Macaca fascicularis: one gene and its partner. The protein of the gene in region 1 interacts with the protein of each later gene in a pairwise test. Links are inferred from orthologs where the notes say so. Each region holds a gene or a part of one and is shown in the gene's direction. Other genes may lie near its edges.

Evidence for each region.
Region 2: the proteins of EXOSC8 (region 1) and TFAP4 interact in binary tests that used the Homo sapiens proteins (3 or more experiments, as listed by UniProt). The two-hybrid records come from large-scale screens. The link is inferred for Macaca fascicularis from reciprocal best matches to the Homo sapiens genes EXOSC8 and TFAP4.

The regions. Positions count from the first base shown.
Region 1 is NC_088391.1:16,549,097-16,555,710, forward strand, and holds part of EXOSC8 (exosome complex component RRP43), read left to right. Parts: intron 1-209; coding exon 210-246; intron 247-433; coding exon 434-497; intron 498-879; coding exon 880-953; intron 954-2,472; coding exon 2,473-2,518; intron 2,519-3,861; coding exon 3,862-3,967; intron 3,968-4,056; coding exon 4,057-4,102; intron 4,103-4,899; coding exon 4,900-4,996; intron 4,997-6,158; coding exon 6,159-6,279; intron 6,280-6,614. UniProt on the Homo sapiens protein: Non-catalytic component of the RNA exosome complex which has 3'->5' exoribonuclease activity and participates in a multitude of cellular RNA processing and degradation events.
Region 2 is NC_088394.1:5,059,310-5,066,766, reverse strand, and holds the start of TFAP4 (transcription factor AP-4), read left to right. Parts: upstream 1-2,489; 5' UTR 2,490-2,748; coding exon 2,749-2,837; intron 2,838-7,457.

The DNA.
Region 1 (6,614 bases):
GACGCCAATCTTCTAATCGTTAATGGCAGAGTTAAGGACAGCAATTGAATGTGATTGCTACTGCAAGGATTTTTACTTTCTAGAATTACTTTTAGTTAAAAGTTGTGGAGATGTATGCTGCATCACAACACTCAAGATCTTTGCCAATTTCTGGATTTATGTTAAGATTCATCAGTTTATCTCAGATATATTTTTAACACGTGTTTCAGAACTGTGGAACCTCTGGAGTATTACAGGAGATTTCTGGTGAGTAAAAAGTTATGTACATGTTTTGCCTTTTGATAACAATGGGCTGCTTTTAAAGATACATTTCAAGTAATTTAATCCATTTGAAGTAACATTTAATGTGTTTCCCCTGGTGTGTGTAAAACTTGGGATAGATGTGTAAAATATGTAATAGGTATAATCTATTTTTATATAAACATTTATTTAGAAAGAGAACTGCCGTCCTGATGGAAGAGAACTTGGTGAATTCAGAACCACAACTGTCAACATAGGTAAGGATGTATTTTCCATTGTCAACTGTATGATATTCCCAAGTTTTAGTCTCTGAACCACCTAAACAGTTTTTCAGCCAAATTCTCTTTTTCTAAAGAATTTGATGATTTTTTGTGTGAAGAGATTTTTATCTGTACAAAAGCCCTGTAACTGAATGAAAAATGATTAACACAAATTCAAGGACAGGTGAATAATTATTTAAACACTAATTTAAAATAGTTATGTAAAAATCAATTATTCTAACGAAATATTCATAAGCAACTGAGAGGGGTAGCAAGATAATCATACACAGCAAGCTAAAACACTTAATTTTAATGATTATGTAGATAATTTTGTAGCTGTTTTCCTTTCATGCACTTTTCACTTTGCTTATCTTTTCAGGTTCAATTAGTACCGCAGATGGTTCTGCTTTAGTGAAGTTGGGAAATACTACAGTGATCTGTGGAGTTAAAGCGGTAACTCTAAATATGTCCTATTGAGATTTGAGTTACAAAGTTAGCTTTCTTTATTAGATTGTAATATACACCTATAATTCCACTCTTGATTTGACAGTTGGGTGTCAGTTTTTAATATTTAATTTCCCAAGAGCTTTCACTATGAGTGTTAAATAATATGACCCAAGTTTAATGACTGAACATTTGTCAAATGTACCAAAATGAAACAACTTTAAAAATCTTAGCCACCCTTAATTTTTAAAACATTTGGTTATATCATTTGAGAAATTAACAGATTTTTGGTGACATCCTTTTAGCCAGTGATGACATGTAATCTGTGTAAATGTGTGGAAAATTGAAATTGTTGAAAAGAAAAATTTGAGGGAATAATGGCTACCATTTACTGAGTACCTGCTATGTTCCAGACACCTTTTTAGGCACTTTACAGAATAATCCACTTTAATCCCTACAACAATCATTTGTTATTTTTCTCCACCTCCTGTTTTATAGATGAGGTTCAGTAACCTCTCCAGGTACATAAGACTCATAAGTAAAACTTGAGACATAAATCTGACTCCAAAGCCTGTGCTTCTTTCACTACAATACACCCTGTGTTATTTAACACTTAGTTGAGATTCTTCTTTGGTAAACCTGGAGTGATATATAACAAGACGATTTGAGAACTTGCTCCTTATCGGGTTTTATGCCTGGGATTTAACAGGTTTATCTCATTTGGCCCTTATTAACAGACCCTAGGAGTAGACACTATTTTCTTCCCATTTGACAGATGAGGAGTTTAAGGTTAGAGGTTAAATAACTTGCCTAAAGTTAGCCAGTAAACGTGGCTCTGACATTTGAACAGGCTTGCTAATTGCAGAGCGTTTGCTCTTTTTTTTTTTTTTTTTTTTTTTTTGAGACGGAGTCTGGCTCTGTTGCTCAGGTTGGAGTGCAGTGGCAGGCTCTCGGCTCACTGCAACTTCTGCTTCCCGGGTTCCAAGTGATTCTCCTGCCTCAGCCTCCCAAGTAGCTGGGATTACAGGCGCCTGCCACCACGCCTGGCTAATTTTTGTGTTTTTAGTAGAGACGGGGTTTTGCCGTCTTGGCCAGGCTGGTCTCAAACTCCTGACCTCAGGTGATCCGCCCGCCTCTGCCTCCCAAAGTGCTGGGATTACAGGTGTGAGCCACCGTGCCCAGCTGAGCTTTTGCTGTTTACCACTAAAGCAGCAATTCCTAAATCTGGCTCTACCATGTGGGGAATAAATTAAGATTCTTGGCTACTAGGTGGGGGCACAAACTCAATTACTGTTTTTCAAAAGATCTCCAGGTAATCTTGATGAGCAGCACTATAGTGTAGTCCACTGTACTATAGTGCCTTCTTATCTTGTAGAGCTACTGTGAGGATCAGCACCAATGTCCTTAGAGGCCCTGGCACAATTCCCTAAGCTGATATTTGATAGAGCCTTCCATAACTGATTGCTAAGTTGTCTTCATAATTTTTCAGTAGCTTGTTTCAATAGGAAACATTTCTTTGCTACTATAGGAATTTGCAGCACCACCAACAGATGCCCCTGATAAAGGATATGTTGGTAAGTTAAATGGTTTTGTAATTTTAATACTAATACTTCTAACACATTTAATAATAATTTTAGTGAAGTCCTAGTTGAGTTGATGTAAAGAAAATTATTCCTAATATTCAGAAATATTTAACAATAAAACAAATTCCTCAAAAGTTTTCCGTATTAGTAAAAGATAGCATAATAGCAGGATATAGAATTTCATAAATTTAATCTTTATCAAACTTGCTTGCTCAATTTTTGTTTATATATTCATATGTTACTAACCAAGAAAATAGAACTTTGGCTGGGTGTGGTGACTCACACCTGTAATACCAGGATTTTGGGAGGCCAAGACTGCAGGATTGCTTCAGCCCAGGAGTTCGAGACCAGCCTGGGGAACAAAGGAGACCCCCCGTCTCTACAAAAAAATCAAGTTAGCTGGGTGTGCTGGTGCACACCTGTGTCCCAACTACTTGGGAGGCTGAAGCAGGGGGATTGCTTGAGCCTGGGAGGTCAAGGCTACAATGAAATATGATTGTATCACTGCATTCAAGCCTGAGTGACAGAGTGAAATCCTGTTTCAAAAGAAAAAAATAGAATGGAATTTTTTTTAGTCAAAGAACTGTCATTGCACATTTTTTGTTTCCATAAAGATTCTTTGCTTTATACAACTGCTATTTTTTTTCTTGTCTTGGAACCATCTGTTCTTTACGGTAGGAACCAACATTTTCTTAAATGAGAAAAACAGTTGGATGTTAGCAGAGGGTCTATCTTCAGTTACAGATTGAGGTATTTTGAAAGATACCAGGAAAACTTGTAAAGGATTTAGGAGAATTGAAGTCTAAAATAGATTTTTAAAAAATGCATATGGGGGGAAAAAAGTCAGAAAAATACAAATTTCATGCCTGGGAGTCTTACAGAGACCAAGCAGAATGTAACTATGTTACAATGTACTCTATTCAGAAAAGCCTGTCCATGGCCACAGCTGCCTTTACTGTGGATTGATACCTTTAACACTTTGATAATCCATAAATTAAAAAGTTTAGGCCGGGCATGGTGGCTCACGCCTGTAATCCCAGCACTTTGGGAGGCTGAGGCAGGTGGATCATGAGGTCAGGAAATCGAGACCATCTTAACCAATATGATAAAACCCCGTCTACCAAAATACAAAAAAATTAGCTGGGCGTGGTGGCACATGCCTGTAATCCCAGCTGCTTGGGAGGCTGAGGCAGGGAAATCTCTTGAACCTGGAAGGTAGAGGCTGCAGTGAGCGGAGATCGCGCCACTGCACTCCAGCCTGGTGACAGAGCAAGACTCCATCTCAAAAAAAAAAAAAAAAAATTTAGTTCATAGCTGCAGAGTGTTTCTTTCAGTTCCTAATGTGGATCTACCACCTCTGTGTTCATCGAGATTCCGGTCTGGACCTCCTGGAGAAGAGGCCCAAGTGGCTAGCCAGTTCATTGCAGATGTCATTGAAAAGTAAGAGCACCATGATAAAATTTTACTGTAATTCATTTTCAGATAGTTTTTGACTTTTCATTTACTTTGCTCTTTGTCATTAAATCAAGTTCACAGATAATTCAGAAAGAGGACTTGTGCATTTCTCCAGGGAAGGTAAGAGGAATAGAGAAGCTATAAGTTCTTATTAATTCTGAAGAGATTTTTTTTGTGGGGGAAAGGGAACAAGGAAATTAAAATCACCAATCAAAGTAGCCTTAAATATGGCTGCTTTACAGATTTTAGAGATTCAGTCATTTCTTACTCTATAATGCTCTAAGTGAACCATATTGTTTATAAAAAACAAGTTTGACTAACTTACCACCTGTCTGGGAGCTACCTTTTAAACTGAAGTAATTTTTTCCCCCCTTAACCTTTAGAGAAAAGTTCAATCATTTTTTATTCCTTATAGCAGATTATAACATTGATCATATTAACATATGTTTTTGGTGAATCCACAGTAGATTCCAAAGTCTATTTGAAAATGTAAAACTAGGTTGATTAGAACCTAGAGAGGCTTTCCATAAACTGATACGTTAGCACTGTAAAACCTAAACATTTCATGTATTATGGGAAAGTGCATTTTGAATTTTAGCTAGGGCTTTCAAAACCATCTTCCTTATCTGTAACCTCCCACTAAGAATGGAAATTCCTTCTACATCTGTAGCTCCATTAAGGGAAATGGACATGTTTGTCATTTGTCAGCTTGGCAATCAAAAGCCAGCTTTCACCAAACCTGTCCACTTTCTTCTGGTTTTCTACTTGAAAAAGGTAAAGCATTTTCTTAAGGTTTTTGAGCCTTGAAGGTTATCTTGCTTGTTTAACCAAGGGTTCTGTGGTTCTTAAGTCTAAGTGAATAGCATGTTCTACCCATTAGAAGGCTTTAATTTCCTTTTGTGTTAATTCTATTTTAGCTTGCCTGGGTTCTATACTGTGATCTCATTTGCCTCGACTATGATGGAAACATTTTGGATGCCTGCACATTTGCTTTGTTAGCGGCTTTAAAAAATGGTAAGCAGCCTTACAAAAACGACAATATTCCCACTAATGGGTTAGAATGTTCTGTTTTGTGAAACTTTTAATGTACATTTGCTTTCGTATGCTTCCAAATTAATGAATGTAATACTGCCATTACTTTCCAAATATAGTTGATAGTTGTATATTCTCTAACTGAATGCTCTTTAGAGTGCTGCTTTGACTGTACCCGTCTACTTAGGTTAGGACTTCAGTCCTTTCCATAATAGTGTTAATAATGGTGGGAGAGGGAGACAAGACTTGTAACTTCTGGCTAGGTCATTGGTGAAGATCTGCCAGTATCCTCATAGTTCTTTATGTGATATTGCCAAAAGAATTAGAATGGATTCTGTTCTTTTTACTGTGAGGCCATAGTAATAGTGAAGTTTCTTAGCAAGGAGTCTAGGTTGACTGATTAGTTACAGATTTCAATAACTTGTGCATATTCCCTATCATTGGTGAATGATGAATTGGTAGGAACAAATAATTGGAGGTGGAAAATAAAGTTAGCACAGCAATATTATAATAGAGTGGTTAAGTGAATTGGAGGTAGAAAATGAAGTTAGCACAATATTGTAACAGAGTGGTTAAAGCAGAGACTTAGGTTTGATTCCTGGCTCTGTCACTCTGTGCTGAAGTTTCCTTATCTATAATAAAATAGGGATAATAGTATTTAGTTTCTAAGAGTATTGATTAGGTGAATACAGTGAAAATGTGGAAATGCGTAAAACAGTACCTGGCATATACAAATTAGCTAGACATGTTATCTATTAGTAATCATTTTCATTTCAAAACTGGGTACAGTGGCACATGCCTATAGTCCCACCCAGCTACTGGGGAGGTTGAGGTGGGAAGATTGCTAGGAATTTAGTTCTAGCCTGGGCAACAAAACAAGACCCGATCTCTAAAAATTTAAAAAAAAATCATTTTGACTTCTTAAACTTAAAAAAATTATGCAATAAGCACTAGGTAGGCATGTCAGATGTTGTGAAGAGCAATGTATATCCTCTGTATTTACCTTAGTGGCTGTAAGGTGCTTTTTAAAAAGAAATGTTCTGGGCAAGTTCAATCGAGGGAAAGGTGAATTAAAAAAAAAAAAAAAAAGCTTAGAAACCATTTGTTTCTTAGAGACTTACTTTACAAATTTGCCTTTTCTTAGTACAGTTGCCTGAAGTTACTATAAATGAAGAAACTGCTTTAGCAGAAGTTAATTTAAAGAAGAAAAGTTATTTGAATATTAGAACTCATCCAGTTGCAACTTCCTTTGCTGTGTTTGATGAGTAAGTTAATCAAACTTACTTTAAAATTTTCTATATTTAAGATTTGGGTAATTGATGTTCAGCATTCTAACTCTTCAGGAAGTGCTATGAGTCTGACTCTACATCCTAGTTTTCCCTGGACACTTGAGTTTATACTTGTCCCTGCACAATTATTTATAGTCAACCTGTCTGCTTTCATAAGCATCCTGATTTGGATGATAATTGTGTTCACTTTACCTGTTCCTTGGTTTACTTATACCTGTGTAATGTTAATTTCTAATTCTTTCACTAAAGATTTACCTGAAGCTATCTTCAGTATTTTCCAAGGATTTTAGCACATTCAGAAATAGTAGAGC
Region 2 (7,457 bases), on another chromosome or scaffold:
AAAAAAAAAAAAAAAAAATTGAACCAGGGAGACATCCAGAGAACAATGTGAAGGCCACATATAACCAAGTATGACAGAATGCTTTGCTCTGCAAAAGAACAAAAGCAAGTACAAAATAAGGCCCTGATCAGAGGTGAGGTGTGACAGGTGGGAGGATGAGTGTGATATAAAGAACGAGGGCTTTCTGCAGTCAGCACTCCTGAGTCCATCCTTATCTGCAACTGTGAGCCTCTGTCTTTCCATCTTCAAAATGAGAGGATAAAGAGACAGTAATGCATCAGAATAGCTTGCTCACTGCTGGGTGAGGTGGCTCATGCCTGCAATCCCAGCACTTTGGGGACTGGGGCAGGCAGATCGCCTGAGGTCAGGAGTTCAAGACCAGCCTGGCTAACATGGCAAAATCCCGTCTGTACTAAAAATACAAAAATTAGCCGGGCTTGGTGGTGTGTGCCTGTAGCCACAGCTACTCGGGAGGCTGAGGCAGAAGAATCGTTTGAACCCAGGAGGTGGAGGTTGCAGTGAGCTCAGATCGTGCCACTGCACTCCAGCCTGGGTAACAGAGGAAGACTCCATCTGAAAAAAAAAAAAAAATAGCTTGCTCACTAGGGGCAGTTAAAAATAGGCTTCCTGCCAGGGCCATCCATGGTTCATGCTTGTAATCCCAGCAATTTGGGAGGTAGAGGTAGGATTCCTTGAGTCCCAGGAGTTCAAGACCAGGCTGGGCAACATAGTGAGACTCCCATCTCTATTCATGAAAAACAGTAAAAAGTTTTTTGTTGTTGTTGTTTTTTTTTTTTGAGATGGAGTTTCGCTCTTGTTGCCCAGGCTGGTGTGCAATGGCACGATCTTGGCTCACTGCAGCCTCCACCTCCTGGTTCAAGCGATTCTCCTGCTTCAGCCTCCCAAGTAGCTGGGATTACAGGCATGCGCCACCACGCCCCCGGCTAATTTTGTATTTTTAGTAGAGACAGGGTTTCTCCGTGTTGGTCAGGCTGGTCTTGAACTCCCGACCTCAGGTGATCCACCTGCCTCAGCCTCCCAAAGTGCTGAGATTACAGGGGTGAGCCACCGCACCCGGCCGAAAGTTTGTTTGTTTGTTTGTTTTAAATAAAAATATAGTAAGCCTTCCAGAGACTTTTTTTGTGAAGTGGTCTGGGATCTCTCCTTAGAGAAACTGCCTAACAGGTTGCTTCAAGGATTGGAGAGCATGTATGCAAAACTGTTCTGCATCCACCGGGTGCTGGCAACATCTAATAACAATATTTCCCAATAATAACAGTAACTATTGTTACTAGTAGGAATAAGTCAAATTAGGAGGCGCGATTTAGGCGGAACCTGGAAGGCTGTGGGCAGGATCCAGGACATTCCAAGGCAGGCGTGGGCTTCCTGAGCCAGAAGCCAACCCTCCAGGAGCCAAGGGAGGGCCTGGGGCCGGAAGGTGGGGCGTGCGAGCGGAGGACGGAAGCTCGCCGCCAGGGTCCCCGTCCCTGCCCTAAGTCGTCACCCCCTCGTAGGGAGCGCACCCTGGCGGAGGTGCAAGTCCCACTCGGGCTTTGTTATGAATGAGAAGCTGCAGCCTTCAGCCCGCGGAGGGAACAGTGGGGGTCTGGGGGGAATAGCAGGACACCCGGCAGCAACCAGCAGACCTCCCGGCAGCGCCGGCAGCCTGGGCCCGGGGGCCGCTGCCGTTCGGGCCCGCCTCCACCTTCCCCTCTCCGCCGGGGGCCCGGGTTTCCTAGGGCGGCCCCAGCATCCGAGGCGCCCTTTGCCGTCCCCTCGCCAGGTCCAGGATTCCCAGGATCCGGAGTCCTTGCCGTGCGTCCAGCGGCGCGCAGCTCAGCAGGGAGGGAGAGAGGAGGCTGGCCGGCCTCGGAAGTCAGCCCCAAGTTACATGTGGGAAGCGGTGGCTGTGACGCAAGTTTCCAGGGGGCCCTGGGCTTGGCTCGAAGGGAGCACACCGGAGAGGCTCCGCTCGGTGCAGTTGCAATGGTGAAAAAGCAGAAGCCCCAAGCGCGAACCCCAGGCCGCCTTCCTTGCTGCCGCAGCACGCCCGACCCAGCCGCGCCCCCTCCTCCCCGCGGGCCGGCCGAGCGCGCGGACCCTGCACTGGGCAGTCGCCGCTGGACCCCGGGCTGCACAGGCTGGCCTCCCCGCGCGGTGGCTGGCCTTTTTTTTTTTTTTTTCAACGCTTGCCAACCTGTCAGCTGATGGACCTCATCACCCATAGTGGCGCATGTAGCTCGGCCGCAGCTCGCTCCATTCACGCCGCGCCCCCCAAGCCCGCCCGCGGCCCCCGGCCCCCTGTGCCCAGCGAGAGGCCTGCAGACCCCGGCTGCAGCCGGTCCCCGGGGGCCCGCGCCCCTCTCGCCCCGGCCTCGCGCCGCCTGGGGGGCGCTGCAAATAGTCCTTTGTTTACATGCAATTCCTTACTCCGCGGAAGGAGGCCGGGGGAGTGCTGAGTTTTCACCAGCTGTTTCCCGCCTTGAAACAGACATCTGATCAGCTGCAAACACACACACACACACACATACACACGCCCGGGGAGGCAGGCCGGAGAGACCTCCCTCCCGCCCCTCCCGCCCGCCTCCCTCCCCTCGCAGCCGCCGCCGCCGCCGCCGCCGCCGCCAGCATCTGGGACCGGCCGATTCTGCACCTCCGTCCGGCGCTGCCCTTTGATTCGGATTTCCATCTTGCATTCTCCGGCTGATCGCGGGACCTGGCTCGTGCAGAGGAGGGGGGCCGATCGCTATGGAGTATTTCATGGTGCCCACTCAGAAGGTGCCCTCTTTGCAACATTTCAGGAAAACAGAGAAAGAAGTGATAGGAGGGCTCTGTAGGTGTGTACTCCTCCTTCCCCCACCCCCTTCCTACCATTGCAGCCCCCGGCTAGCCCGCCCGGGCGGGCGCGCGTGTGCGCACGCATGGCCCGCGCCGCCGACCCCGCTAGCCTTTCTTAGCTGCCGGGACGGCTGCAGCCCCACGCGCCGGGTTCGCGCCGCCCCGGGACCCTCCTCCCTTGGAGCATGGGGGCCCCAAGCGGCCCCGGCCACTTTTGTCCGCTGCAGGCGGGCGAGTCGCAACGTTTGTAAATTGCAAACAGACCCACGTGGTTCTGCAGCAGTCCCGGCCATGCTTGGTGCTGGTGGCCTTCCCCCCCGCGCTTCCTCTTTCCCCCTCCCGCGGCGGCTTCCTTCCTCTCCTTCCTTCCTCGCGATCTTAGGTCGTCCCCATCCAAGGGGGTCTCGGGGGCCGGGGCGCGCGTGGGGGTGTAGCTAGGGCGGCTACAATGCAGCCATGCCGCGGCTCCCGGCGCGGGGTGGGGGCGGGGAGCCGGGCACTGTGCGTGTTTGCAGAGTGGGGCTGCAGCGGGGTTGGGGGCGTGCTCGCGTGTGGGTGTGGGGGGTGGGCGGGCCCCGAGGGGCCCGCGCGGCCGGTAGGGGCGCCGCGGCCCGGGGCACGTTGGCTGCCGCTCGCTCGCCCGCCCGCTCCCGGGCGCTGTTTACTAGCGAGGCCTGGACGTGACTCTGCAGCCCTCTTGGAGTAGGCGGACCTCTGCGCGCGGCCTCGCGGGAGCTGTAGTTCTCCGCATCCTGCTGGTGCAGCATTGTGGGATTTGTAGGCGCTCCTGGGCCACGCTTTCCCTGCACAAAGCTCGGACCCATGGGCACGGTGGGCAAGGCAGGCCAGGTGGGCAGGCCTTTTGGGGAGGGGACACCTGAGGCTGCCTCTAGCCTCGCAGGGCAGCTTCCCGCCGCACGTGGGTTTCCTCTGCAAACTTTCCCATCCAACGCCCCTCCCCCTGCCGTAAATCGAAAGCGTCGGGTCCCCAGGCGGGGTGGGTGGCCCGAGATCCGCAGGCCTCCCCAGAAGCCACTTTGCAAGCTTTGGTCCTAGGTTGCTCGAAACCCAAAGGGTGATGGATTCAAGGACCACACACAGCTAAACCACCCCGCACACTTCTTAAAATGCACATGCCTGGAACTCTGATCGCTGGCGCCCGGACATCTGCATTTTGAACGACCCCCCGGGCGGGGTATGGGGGAGGTGGGCGTTCTACGGAGTGCGCAAGTTTGGGACCTGCGGCCCCTTTCCTGCCGCGCTGCTCCAGGAGCGAAATGGCTCCCCAGGGCTGGAGCCACGTGCTCTGCCGCCCGAGGCAGTCTGGGCGGGGATTGAGGGAGGAGGAGCCCGCCGGTGTGGCACAGGCTGGTGGTCACTAGCGCCTCGGAATCCGGCCTGGAGGGAAGGTTGCTGCACACGTGTAGACAACTCCTGCCCAACCCGCTGCCCCAGGGGTCCCCACCTTAAGGCTACTCTGAAGTTCCCAGTCAATACCTAGACTTGGGCCAGATGATGGGTTTGGCAGCTGGCAGGGATGCCCGGCTGGCCCTTGCACGAGGCCCACCTGGAGGACCCAGTAATAATAAGTAAAAAAAAAAAAATTGTTGAGCTGTTTTTAGGTTCTGGGGGCTCACTTTGCTAGAATTTTCTCATTGAATTGTCATAATCTTTCTATGAGTCGGAAGTGTCTTTTGATTCTGTGTAAAGAGGACACAGAGACTGGAGAAGGGACCACTACAGCAAGTGGTAGAGCTGGAACTTGAACCCTTGTCCTGGGGTTGCAGGCTGCTGCAGGGCTGGGCTGGGCAGCCTGCTGTGGTGCAGTTGAGCTGCTGTGCCTGCTGGAGAGGACATTCTGGGCCTGATCCTGGGCAGGGTTGGGGGGCCCTCTGGCTGCCATGCCTGGGCCTTGGGTGAGTCCTCTCAGGGCCCCCTAAGATTCTGGCTTCAATTTATCCCTGCCCCAAGCTTCCCTTTGGAGGATACCAGCAGTCCTCTAGAGTAGCTGGATCTTGGTAGGCCAAGGGCTTGAAGGTGTAGAGCCTTCGCCCAGGGTTGGGCACAGCAATGTCCATTGCAAGACAGTTGTCAGCTGTGCATTAGGCGTGGAGTTGGGGGTCCTGGATTTGTTTATCTTCAGTAGGGGTTGCAGGGTGAGGTGGGAAGCCTGTCCGGGATCAAACGTGTGCTTTAGGCAGGACTTTCTGGCCAGATGCATTTGCTTTTCTGGGTCATCTCAGGCTGGTGGGCTTTGCTCCATCCCTCAGTGACCAGCAGGGATTTCCCTTTCTGTCTCCCAGGCCTGCCAGAGGGGAGTGTAGGGCACAGTGCTGCGCACACAAGCTGCAGGTTTTGGACCTGTCGCCTAATGGTTCTGTCTCTGGAAAACAGTGCACCTGTGAGAAAATTAGCTATGAGTATGGAAAGTGCCTGGTAGCTGTTAAAATGACATTCAGTCTTTTTTTTTTTTTTGAGACAGAGTCTCACTCTGTCACCCAGAATGGAGTTCAGTGCTGCAATCTTGGCTCTCTGCAACCTCCGCCTCCTAGGTTCAAGCGACTTTCCTGCCTCAGCCTCCCAAGTAGCTGGGATTGCAGGCATGTGTCACCATGCCTGGCTAATTTTTGTATTTTTAGTAGAGATGGGGTTTCACCATGGTGGTTGGCCAGGCTGGTCTTGAACCCCTGACCTCAGGTGATCTGCCCACCTTGGCCTCCCAAAGTACTACGATTACAGGCATGAGCGACTGCGCCCAGCCACTGACATTCACAGTCTTTTTTTTTTTTTTGAGATGGAGTCTCGCTCTGTCGCCCAGGCTGGAGTGCAGTGGTCTGATCTCGGCTCACTGCAAGCTCAGCCTCCCGGGTTCACGCCATTCTCCTGCCTCAGCCTCCTGAGTAGCTGGGACTACAGGCGTCCGCCACCTCGCCCTGCTATTTTTTTTTTTTGTATTTTTTAATAGAGACGGAGTTTCACCGTGTTAGCCAGGATGGTCTCAGATCTCCTGACTTCGTGATCCGCTCGTCTCAGCCTCCCAAAGTGCTGGGATTACAGGCTTGAGCCACCGCGCCCGGCAACATTCAGAGTCTTAAAGGCATGTATATGGGCAGGTATATGGTAGTCTCTATCCGTATCTTGTGTTTTTTTGTTTGTTTGTTTTGAGATGGACTCTCACTCTGTCGCACAGGCTGGAGTGCAGTGGCACAATCTCAGCTCACTGCAATTTCCGCCACCGGGGTTCAAGCGATTCTCCTGCCTCAGCCTCCTAAGTAGCTGGGACTACAGGCCCGCTCCACCATGCCTGGCTAATTTTTGTCTTTTTAGTACAGACGCGGTTTCACCATGTTGGCCAGGATGGTCTCTATCTCCTGATCTTGTGATCTGCCCGCCTCAGTCTCCCAAAATGCTGGGATTACATACATGAGCCACTGTGCCCGGACTCTCAATCTGTATTTTTTTTTTTTTCTTTTTGAGACGGAGTCTCAGAGTCTCGCTCTGTCGCGCAGGCTGGAGTGCGGTGGCGCAATCTCGGCTCACTGCAAGCTCCGCCTCCTGATTCATGCCATTCTCCTGCCTCAGCCTCCCTAGTAGCTAGGACTACAGGCGCTTGCCACCACGCCTGGCTAATTTTTTTTGTATTTTTCGTAGAGACGGGGTTTCACCGTGTTAGCCAGGATGGTCTCGATCTCCTGACCTCGTGATCTGCCCGCCTTGGGCTCCCAAAGTGCTTGGATTACAGGCATGAGCCACTGCGCCCGGCTCCATCTGTATCTTAAAGCTCCTGGACCCTGCTCATTGGCTCAAGCCTGTAATCCCAGTAATTTGGAAGGCCGAGGCGAAAGAATCATTTGAGCCCAGAAGTTCGAGACCAGCCTGGGCAACATAGCAAGACCCCACCTCTACAAAAAATTAAAAAATTAGCCTGGCATGGTGGCATGTGCCTGTAGTCTCAGGGAGCGGCTCATGGGAGGCTCACGGGAGGCTGAGGCAGGAGGATTGCTTGAGCCTGGGAATTGGAGATTACAGTGAGCTATGATCATACCACTGCACTCTAGCCTGGGTAACAGAGACCGTGCCTCTTAAAAAAACACACACAGTGGCTCACTCTTGTAACCCTAGCACTTTGGGAGGCCAAGGCGGGAGGATCACTTGAGCCCAGGAGTTTGAGACCAGCCTCAGCAACGTGATGAAACCCTGTTTCTACTAAAAATACAAAAAACTAGCTGAGTGTGGTGGTGTGTACTTCCAGTTGCTTGGGAGGCTGAGGAAGGAGGATGACCTGGGTTCAAGAAGTTGACGCTACAGTGAGCCAAGATCATGCCATTGCACTCCAGCTTGGGTGATGGGAGTGAGACCCTGCCTCTAAATAAATAAATAAATAAAAATTTAAAAAATAAAATAAAATTTAAAAAATAAAATAAAATTTAAAAAGCTCCCATAAGAAGGAGTTCGAGAAAATTGAAGGCTTTGGAGTGTTCGTTGGGTCCCTGATTTATTTATGAAGCAACAACATTCTGCTGGGACTGAGGATACAGCCATGAACAGGATGTGACTCCTGTCTTCAGCACCTCACAGCCTCGTGGTCCTAAAAGGTCTTGTAGACCCCCCTAAGAGTT